2 linked regions of the Nothobranchius furzeri genome follow. The protein of the gene in region 2 binds, or shares a complex with, the protein of the main gene of each other region. Links are inferred from orthologs where the notes say so. Each region holds a gene or a part of one and is shown on either strand. Other genes may lie near its edges.

The links.
Region 1: the proteins of nup58 (region 2) and nucleoporin p54 are in contact, whole or in part, in a crystal structure (PDB 4JO7), measured with the Homo sapiens proteins. The link is inferred for Nothobranchius furzeri from reciprocal best matches to the Homo sapiens genes NUP58 and NUP54. Residues at the interface, in NP_054808.1 of Homo sapiens: Pro342, Tyr345, Phe346, Leu349, Val350, Phe353, Gln356, Leu357, Tyr360, Gln363, Ile364, Leu367, Leu371, Gln374, Ser378, Ile392, Tyr393, Phe396, Leu399, Ala400, Leu403, Ile406, His407, Val410, Lys414, Tyr417, Tyr420, Arg421; in NP_059122.2 of Homo sapiens: Tyr453, Leu459, Glu462, His466, Leu467, Gln469, Gln470, Gln471, Gly473, Leu474, His476, Leu477, Ile478, Ile480, Ile481, Asp484, Leu485, Ile488, Lys489, Leu490, Val491.

The regions. Positions count from the first base shown.
Region 1 is NC_091746.1:59,724,963-59,729,249, forward strand, and holds the start of nucleoporin p54, read left to right. Parts: upstream 1-1,338; 5' UTR 1,339-1,551; coding exon 1,552-1,594; intron 1,595-2,009; coding exon 2,010-2,117; intron 2,118-2,265; coding exon 2,266-2,346; intron 2,347-2,494; coding exon 2,495-2,659; intron 2,660-3,023; coding exon 3,024-3,110; intron 3,111-4,027; coding exon 4,028-4,174; intron 4,175-4,287. UniProt on the Homo sapiens protein: Component of the nuclear pore complex, a complex required for the trafficking across the nuclear membrane.
Region 2 is NC_091747.1:56,986,637-56,990,901, reverse strand, and holds the start of nup58 (nucleoporin p58/p45), read right to left. Parts: upstream 2,963-4,265; 5' UTR 2,744-2,962; coding exon 2,664-2,743; intron 2,117-2,663; coding exon 1,947-2,116; intron 1,866-1,946; coding exon 1,833-1,865; intron 1,756-1,832; coding exon 1,486-1,755; intron 1,346-1,485; coding exon 1,186-1,345; intron 1,020-1,185; coding exon 954-1,019; intron 854-953; coding exon 679-853; intron 542-678; coding exon 462-541; intron 379-461; coding exon 260-378; intron 1-259. Other genes in the region: mtmr6 (myotubularin-related protein 6), read left to right, coding at 3,755-3,778. UniProt on the Homo sapiens protein: Component of the nuclear pore complex, a complex required for the trafficking across the nuclear membrane.

The sequences.
Region 1 (4,287 bases), on a different chromosome or scaffold from region 2:
CTGATGTAACAAACAGTATTATTCAACATTAGTCCAGTTCTGTTGAAGGAGGTTAAATTATGTTGTTACACTGATCAAACCAAAACACTGAAAGCACCACGTAGATGTTACACTGGGCTACTTTGTGCCAAATGCTGATTAGATACAATCTCTGTGAATTGATTGTTACTGCTACAAACACGTGTCCTGAGTGTCTGCTTGCTATGAAATGTTGCATCTTGTTGTTTTTACTCTGTACACAAAATAAAAAAGTAGTTTCAGTAGTTCTGTGTTTGCCTCTGAGTTTGGTGAATAAGATGTGAGTGCAGAGGGAATTAAAATACAGGAGATTAGCTGCAGACACGGGAGCAAGGATGAAACCTCCAAAATCTGTAACTTTGACAAGCGTTACGATAAGTTTCAAGTTTACATAATATTCTATTCGTTTTTATTTGTAAATATCTTTGCCATACTTGCATAGCAGCAGCAAATATAAATTCACCCATACATGGACTTAGTTTTTTTTTTGGAGGGGGGAGGGGGAAGATGTCCCCCCACTTTTTCAAAAGTCAATTTTTGTCCCCTGCACTTTTTACCATCCACAAACAATATTACGCTACATTAAATTGGCACTGGTTGAGCACTAGGACCAAGCGGAAAACACCTGCTTGTGTTGAAGCCTGTTTCTCGTTAGAACTGTCTATAAGCTCATCTGTTGGCTCTACTAATACTTGAAAAGATGGCAAGCTATATAAATGAATGAGTCTTGTCTTTTGTAAAACAATTCAGAATATTTTTTATTTCATGTGTGTATGTTTGCATTCATGTAATAGCCCAGAAATCTAGATCGACTGTAGCACAAGCAAAAGGATATAGGGTGGCTTGCTAATTCTTTTGTACTCAAACTAAACTCATGAATGATTCTGTGTTACCAAAGGTAATTTATAATAAAATGTATGTATAGTTTGTATGGATAATAATAATAATAATAATAATAATAATAATAATAATATACGGTTCATGGCTCTTCAAGGACTAATAAACCTCAAAAGCTTCTAATAATTGGAGATTCCCTTTATATTATTTAGAATGTAAGCACTTCCTCTAATACTTTATTTTCTTGTGCTTATTTTTATGTATGCTCATTCATTGAAATATGACTGTTTTCTTTTTTCGAACATAATAGCTCGTCGTGTTTTTATTTGTACTATAAAGTTGATCAAATTAAAGCTGAACAATGTTAAAATCCGGACACTAGGTGGCGGAAGAGCGTTGCTTTGTTGAAGTATGAACAGTCTATGAGTATGAACGATGTGTTGAGAAATACAGAAACGATTAGACTAACTCTAGTTTCAGCGCCTTTGGCTTCCTGACAGGGTCGTGGAAGGCGCTTTATAATTAAAGCTTTGATTGATTGATTATGTAGGAAAACGCACACATGTGTACTAACCAGTCCACACTCCGTGCCAGTTGGTGGCAGTAATGTGGCACGACGTTGGTCGCCAACTGGCATAAAACATCAAACAGGAGAAGAAGAAAAGAAGCGACGAAGAAGAACTGACATTCGCCAACATGGCGTTTAGTTTTGGCGGCGCCACGAGCAATACAGAAGCAAGTATGGACTTTAGTTACCTCTACTTTGTATTCTTTCTCTTAGCGAAAGCTGTGTCGGATATGTGTCATAAACCAGACGCCACAAGGATATGAACGCATTACTAGCATATGTAGTTAGTACGTGTCGCAAGCTAACTGCTGTTGAAGCATCATGTAATCTCACAATCCGGCCAATGCAGCAAACTTCAGTGGGTTGTGTTCCACGTTTTAAGTTAAAGTCATAACTAGTTTGTTACGTATTCAGATGCGGGACAGATTACTTGGTCATCTACCTTTAGCAGTAAAGCCTCCCCATGTTAGCGTCATGCTACGAATCAGCTACTAGTTAGCTACTGTATGAAGTTTTCAGAAAAGCATCGAAGGATACAGTAGAGATGTAATCCAACATTTAAAGACTCGTTTATGTTCTTTTAAAGGCGCGCCCGGGTTCTCATTCGGCGCATTTGGTGCCAAGACGACGGCATCAACCACGTTTGGATTCAACCCCACGGCCACCACGACCACCGCTTCTTCAGGGTTTGGCAGTAAGTCACGCTCCTGACCCACATTCAAGAGGTCTTCTGTGTTTTGTTTTGGCTTTCATTCGTGTGTGTGTGTGTGTGTGTGTGTGTGTGTGTGTGTGTGTGTGTGTGTGTGTGTGTGTGTGTGTGTGTGTGTGTGTGTGTGAAAAAGCTCTAACAGCTCCTGGTTTTGGGACTGTCACCTCCACTTCTGCACCCGCTACAGGATTTAGCTTTGGCTCCACCAACACGGGTAGGACAAACATTAGTTTTAAAGCGCGTTTCATTCGTTTTGTTGATTTTTAGACGATTAACTCACTGAAGAGCTGGTGCCAAATGTAGCATTGTGTCATTTAACTCCGTGTTACTTTCTTCTTGCTGCCTGCCTGCTTCGGCTACAGGATTTGGGGGGCTTGGAGCTGGAAGCACCATGGCTGGCGGGTTTAGTTTTGGGGGGTTTGGTTTAAATGCCAACCCAGCAGCAATCAGCTTTAATGCAGGGTGCTTTGGTACAGCAACCACTACTGGCACTATTTTCAATTTTGGTAATAGCCTGACTAGCACAGGTAGATGATCTCTGTGATCGAGTTCATTTTGTGTTTGCAAAAATCGTTTGTGTCCACCTCCATGTGATGCAGTGTTTTTCTTTCTCCATCTCACCTGGTGACTCTTATACATCTATGTTCTGAAGTTTCACTGTTTTTGCATGAAAGACTGTGTTAAACTATGCTCTCATCTTGTGTGATGATGAATGTGGACATTCAGTACATTTTTTGCAGAACATCATGTTTGATGGATGTCATTTGATCATTGCCAGAAATACTTTTCTGCTACTCACCATGCACCCAGTGATTTCCAACTCTTGTTCTCTCATCTCCTTTCCCTTTAACTCCTTTCATTGGAGGGATTATTCTTTGATTTCCTTTCCAGGTACATTTGGTGGCTTTGGGGCAACGACAACAACAGCTGCTGCACCGGGGTCCACTTTCAGCTTTACTACCCCCTCCAATACAACAGGTTAGTAACAGAGTAACCTCTGTGAGTACACATTTAGAGCAAAATAAATATTAAAGCTGTGCGTGGCGACATTAGGAAGAATTTGGACTAACTTGAATATAAAAAATATATATTGATGGAACCACCCCCCAGCTTTACATGTTACTCTGAAGGTGCTGGTGAATACTGCTACTAGTAGTCAAAGTGGTGATTGACCGTTAGAGGTCTCATGCCTTTACAAGATATTTTTACTGAGACCCTGCTGATTCTCCAGAGCAGGTTAGGTTTCCAGTTTGGGAATTGCATGAGATGACACTTCTCGTCTGCTAATCAGTAATGGTGAGCAGATTCACCATTTAATCAATCGATTGCACTGTGACACTTGCCAATTCAATAACAATTTATAAATATATAAAAAAAATATATAATGAAATGCCTAAAAACAGCTGCTAAGCACGGCAGGAACATAAAAGTTGCACGTACCATTCGTACACTTTAGGGGACGGACCAGCGGAAATGTAATAAACAGCAGTAGAGAGCCTAAGCCACGCCCATTTACTTCCAGTCCGGTCTACTTCCAGCGTGTGAATGACTGTTCTTCGTGGAAGCACTTTCGAGTCCTCTGACACAGAAATGCCAATTACCATTTCAGTTTATTTACTATAAAATCACAAATGAATGTTTAAGAACATGTGTAAGATGCAGGTGATGTCCTATTAACACCAGTTCAAGTTACTATTTTATCCCAAATAAACAACCAAAACAGCAGGTTCTATGATGCTATATTCTTGTTCTAGCATGAACACTGAGCTGCTACAAGATGTCTCACTTTACCAAAACACGGGGCTCTCCTTGTTGCTGTGTTCCTTCTGCAGAGCTGACAGCATCTTTTCTTTTTTGGGTTTTAATTTGTTGCTTTTGAATGCGTTTTGTCTTAGGAGGCCTGTTTGGGAACACAGCCAACAAAGGGTTTGGATTCCCAGCAGGACTGGGAACCGGTACCGCTACTGGAACATCAGGGTTTGGAACTGGATTAGGAGCAACTGGATTTGGAGGTTTTAACATCCAGCCGACGCAGCAGCAAGGTGAGCGCCTCCTTTTCCAAGTGAGTGTTTACCTGCAGAAATCAGGAGATTATTATTGTACCAAGTCTGTTTCTGTACATGAATAAATCCAGTTTCAGACAGTATCTATTAGG
Region 2 (4,265 bases):
CTGAGACGACATGTTAGCTCTGAATTAGCCTTCTAGTTAAACAGAAACACGTTACGGGGTCTGCCGTAAATTGTGTGTCGTTACCGAGTTGTTTTCATCCACCTAACAATGAATAATGTAGTGGAACTTGTTAAAATTAAAACCAAACCTCTGTTATGTTTGAAAAACTATATTCCAGGATGAATTTAAAGGGTAGCGTTTGATACACTAGCTTTTACGTTTCCATTAAATAATCAGTGTTATCTCCACATCTCATTACCCTGAGGGGTGATGTGTGTGCCGCTGCTCTGCGTGGTCAGGTGATTCTCCAGCTCTTCTATCTGCTGCCGGTACTGCTGCAGCTGCACCTCAAACTGGTCAACCAAGCCACGGAAATAACTAAACACAAGATCACAACAGCCGATTGTAGGTCACTGATATTTGCATTTGATTTGCCTCGACGCTGCTGCTCGATGACTTACTCTGACGGAGCAGTGTTTTCATGCTGAAGGCCAGGAGGTGTCTTCTGGGTGCGCAGAGCTATGTCTGCATTTTTCAGCTCCTTATAAAAGAATTTGAAGAACGTTAAGTTTTGTCGGAAGAGTAATTTATGTATAAAAGGTACAAGGAAGAGCTGCAACCTTTCGAAATTGGAACATTTGAGAGAATGTGTCATTTGAGTTATTTTATGTTTGATACCTGAGCTGTCTCCAACTTGAGTTTGTCTATAGCCAGAGCCTGGCGCTGCAGTCCGCTGGCACAGACAGAAAGCAGCTGTTTGAGGCTTTTGATGTCATCCTGAACCTTAGAAATGGACTTTGAGGACATCCTACTGATGTCTTCCTGAACCTGCTTTTGCTCTTTTACAAATTTTCTGCAAATAAGGGAGAAAGATGCAGAAAGGAACTCTCTTTCAGGTGATAAAAAGAAAAACTCAGCATGTACACAGTGCAGTAACAAAATGTAATACTTACTGAAAATTGTCTACATCTTGACAAATACATGTGGGCAGATTCTCATCTTTTAGAGCTTTGCTGTCCCTGAGGAGGAGAATGAGACACGTTTCTTCACGCCATCATACAGGAGACAGATCATTACTGATGAGGTAAATGACCACAAGACAGGAAACCAACGTTGTCTTGGACATTTTTAGAATTCAAACGTTAGTTTTACTATTTCAAAGGCCTCACGAATAAAGCCACATACTGAGCATTGGTTCCAGATAATGCATCGCTCTTGTTCTCGGAGAGGGTGCTGAAGTCAACCCCACCCAGGCCAATGCTTGGAGAAGGAGCAGCTGGTACTGCTGTGGAGGTGGCCAGCAAAGAACCCAAGGCTCCTCCTCCAAGAGTAGTCTGGCCCAGCCCTGAAACACAAAGTAGAAAAAGAGGTTTGAACAAATCTTCGGATCTTTCAGAGATTTTGGATTTGCTAAATTGATTGTTATATATAGATTGTACACGTGCTGCACCGTGACAGTGTAAGTTAACTTATTTTCATTTTAACCTGAGGCTCCAGTGCTGGAGAAAAGTCCAGTGCCCAGTGATGGCACTGTTGAGGCTGCTGAGGCGGTTGTGATGCCACCGAGACCAAGGCTGAAGCCAGTGGCTGAGGGCTGCTGTGGTGCTGTGGATGTCAGGACGGAGCCAAATGATAAACCTGCTCCCACTGTCGAGGAACTGGTGCTGGTGGTGAGGGAAAAGGGTGTCGCTGAGGCAGTGGGCTTGTTGAAGGCTAAACTAAAGCCAGTGGTAGCAGCTGTTGTAGCTGGAATGCCTGAAAGAAAGTGTGTGTGAAATTAAACGTAGAAACTTTCCCACTTACTCCAAAACACACTCTGAAAGCTAGCATACCTATTGCGAGGCCTGTGGTGGGCGCAGAAGCACCTGTAAGATAAGATCCCAACAGAAAAGTTAAGACACACAGAACGACTTAAGCTTTAAACAAATGTGTTAATGCATCATTACTTGAAGCTGGCGTATTGAAAGAGAATCCTCCAGCAGGTTTCTGGCCAAAGATGCTGCCTCCCAGTCCGAGAGAAGCAGTGGTGGAGGTGGCAGTGGTTGGAGCAGGGGCTGCAGCTGCTGTTCCCAGAACAGTCCCAAAGGAAAAGCCGCTCGTATTGGCTGCAGGGGCACTTAAGACAGAAAGGATGATCATTTCACACTTTTTCAATAACAAAGCTGCACTTAAAAAATGTATAATCCGTCCATTTGAATTACGTTAAACCACAGTACTTCATAAATGTGTTTACACAAACAAATAATGCCAAACTGCTGTAAGCAACCTGGGCAAAATGGAAAAAGTAGATATCCTGACATTCCAGCACATCACCCAAAAACGTATTAAACCGGAGGTTTTATTGAAATTAAACTTTATGATTCTTAAGTAACAATAAGTGTTTCACGTGCGAATCACAAACTTATTGAAACGCGTTCTTTATTAAGACAGTGGAAGCAATGTGGGGATACTGGAATTAGTTTAACATTTCAATAACCCAATTATGTTATTAAATAATGCAGTGTAACGTTTGCGTGAAGGAACAAACCCCTAAAAGGCAGTGCATTTAAACATTACAAGCAACCACCTCTGTGAGCTATGTTGAAAAACAAGGATTGTAAAAAATGGCACACGATTAAAGTTATGCTATGCTAACTTTAGCCAGAACGGCTAACTAAAAATACCTGGTAACGGCTCCAAATGAAAATCCTCCACCCGTGTTGGTAGCTCCAAGCGTTCCCGATCCAAAGTTAAAGCCAGACATTTTCTCCTAACAGCTACACAAGCACTACCAAACAATTTGAACTTCAAATACTAATGAAATTCATTTGCAAGCTTAGCACACCATCACGTCAGTTAGCTTTTCATGGCCGCGTGAGGGCCAAGATCCGCGCTCTAGCATTTGTTTAAAACATAACTGATCAAAAATGTTTTATATTCCCAATAAGTGAGATCACACTGCAGCCTTGTGGCGATTTACAATCTATTAAATAAGCCTGGTATGTTAAAAAAAATTCTCAAAACTACTTTTCGCATGGCTCTTCTTTTCCTATTACCCGCCTGGTATTTTTGTGCTAGTGCATCTTGGGTAATAATTTATCTAAACTACATTTCCCAGATTTTACACAGCTCCTGTGACGTTAACGCATGCGCACACTTCTAATTTGGACTAAAAAGTCGTTCATAAAGTACAAACTAAATCCGGATGTGCTTTCAAAATAAAACCCCTTGCTTAAACAAAATTTACTTAAAATTACGTGACTTTAAAGGGCGTATTTTAAACAACATTTCAAGATTCGAATTCGATCATTTAAAAAAATTTTAATTAGAAAATAGAATCACATCATTTATTGTCATTCCGTGTGGTAATTTAGGTGTGAAATCTCAGCACGTCACAACACAGTGCCAGTTAAAAGTTTAATCAACTCAACATATGTGTGTATATCATAATATTGATGTCGATTGTGTATATTTACTAAAAAAAACTATATGTCACGAAAGGCGGTTTTAACCATGGGTTTAACCGAAGCCCTGGTGTTTTAAACACAAAATGCGCTTTATTTTGAAAACACTTCACGTGCAGCGTTGCCGTGATAGTAATTAACTTCACGCTAACAAAAGAGTGAAATAATTGACAATAAACTCATAACGTATAACAGCGAAAAGTCAAGGCGACACCTCTGCAGTCTTAACCATTTTTAAATCAATGATACACTTGTCATCTTAGCGCGTCGTGTGAGCCCTTTGCGTCGCTGACAGGTCTCGATTCGGAGAAATGGAACACATCCGAACGCCGAAGGTAGCTAACATTTTTTTTTGCTAATTTTTGCAAATGGATGGGATGAATAAGCTTATTGGGCCTTGTCTTTTTGGTATGTTTTCTGTGATTCAGTGTTGCTATGTAATGTTAGCCAGATGTGTTGGCTAGCAGGTGTCGCTAGAATCAGACGTGACGAGCATCTGTTTGCTAGTTTTTTCCCCTCGCTCAACAGACAGCACGGCTTTCACTCAATAACCCTACAACTTTCACACCCAGTTATTGAACTAGTTTAAGCATTTTAGTGATTAATAGAAAACTCGGCTGCATCTGGAGTTATAGTAACACATGATAGGCCTATTTAACAGAGATGGTAAAATCAGGGTGATCTGCACTATGAAAATACTCCTCAGATCAAAAATAGGATCATCTGCTTATTTATTTTAACATTTCAAGTATCAGATGAACTTTTATGGGAAATACGTGACTTTTAAGTTCATAAAAACCCATAAAAAGGTTAAGTTATGTA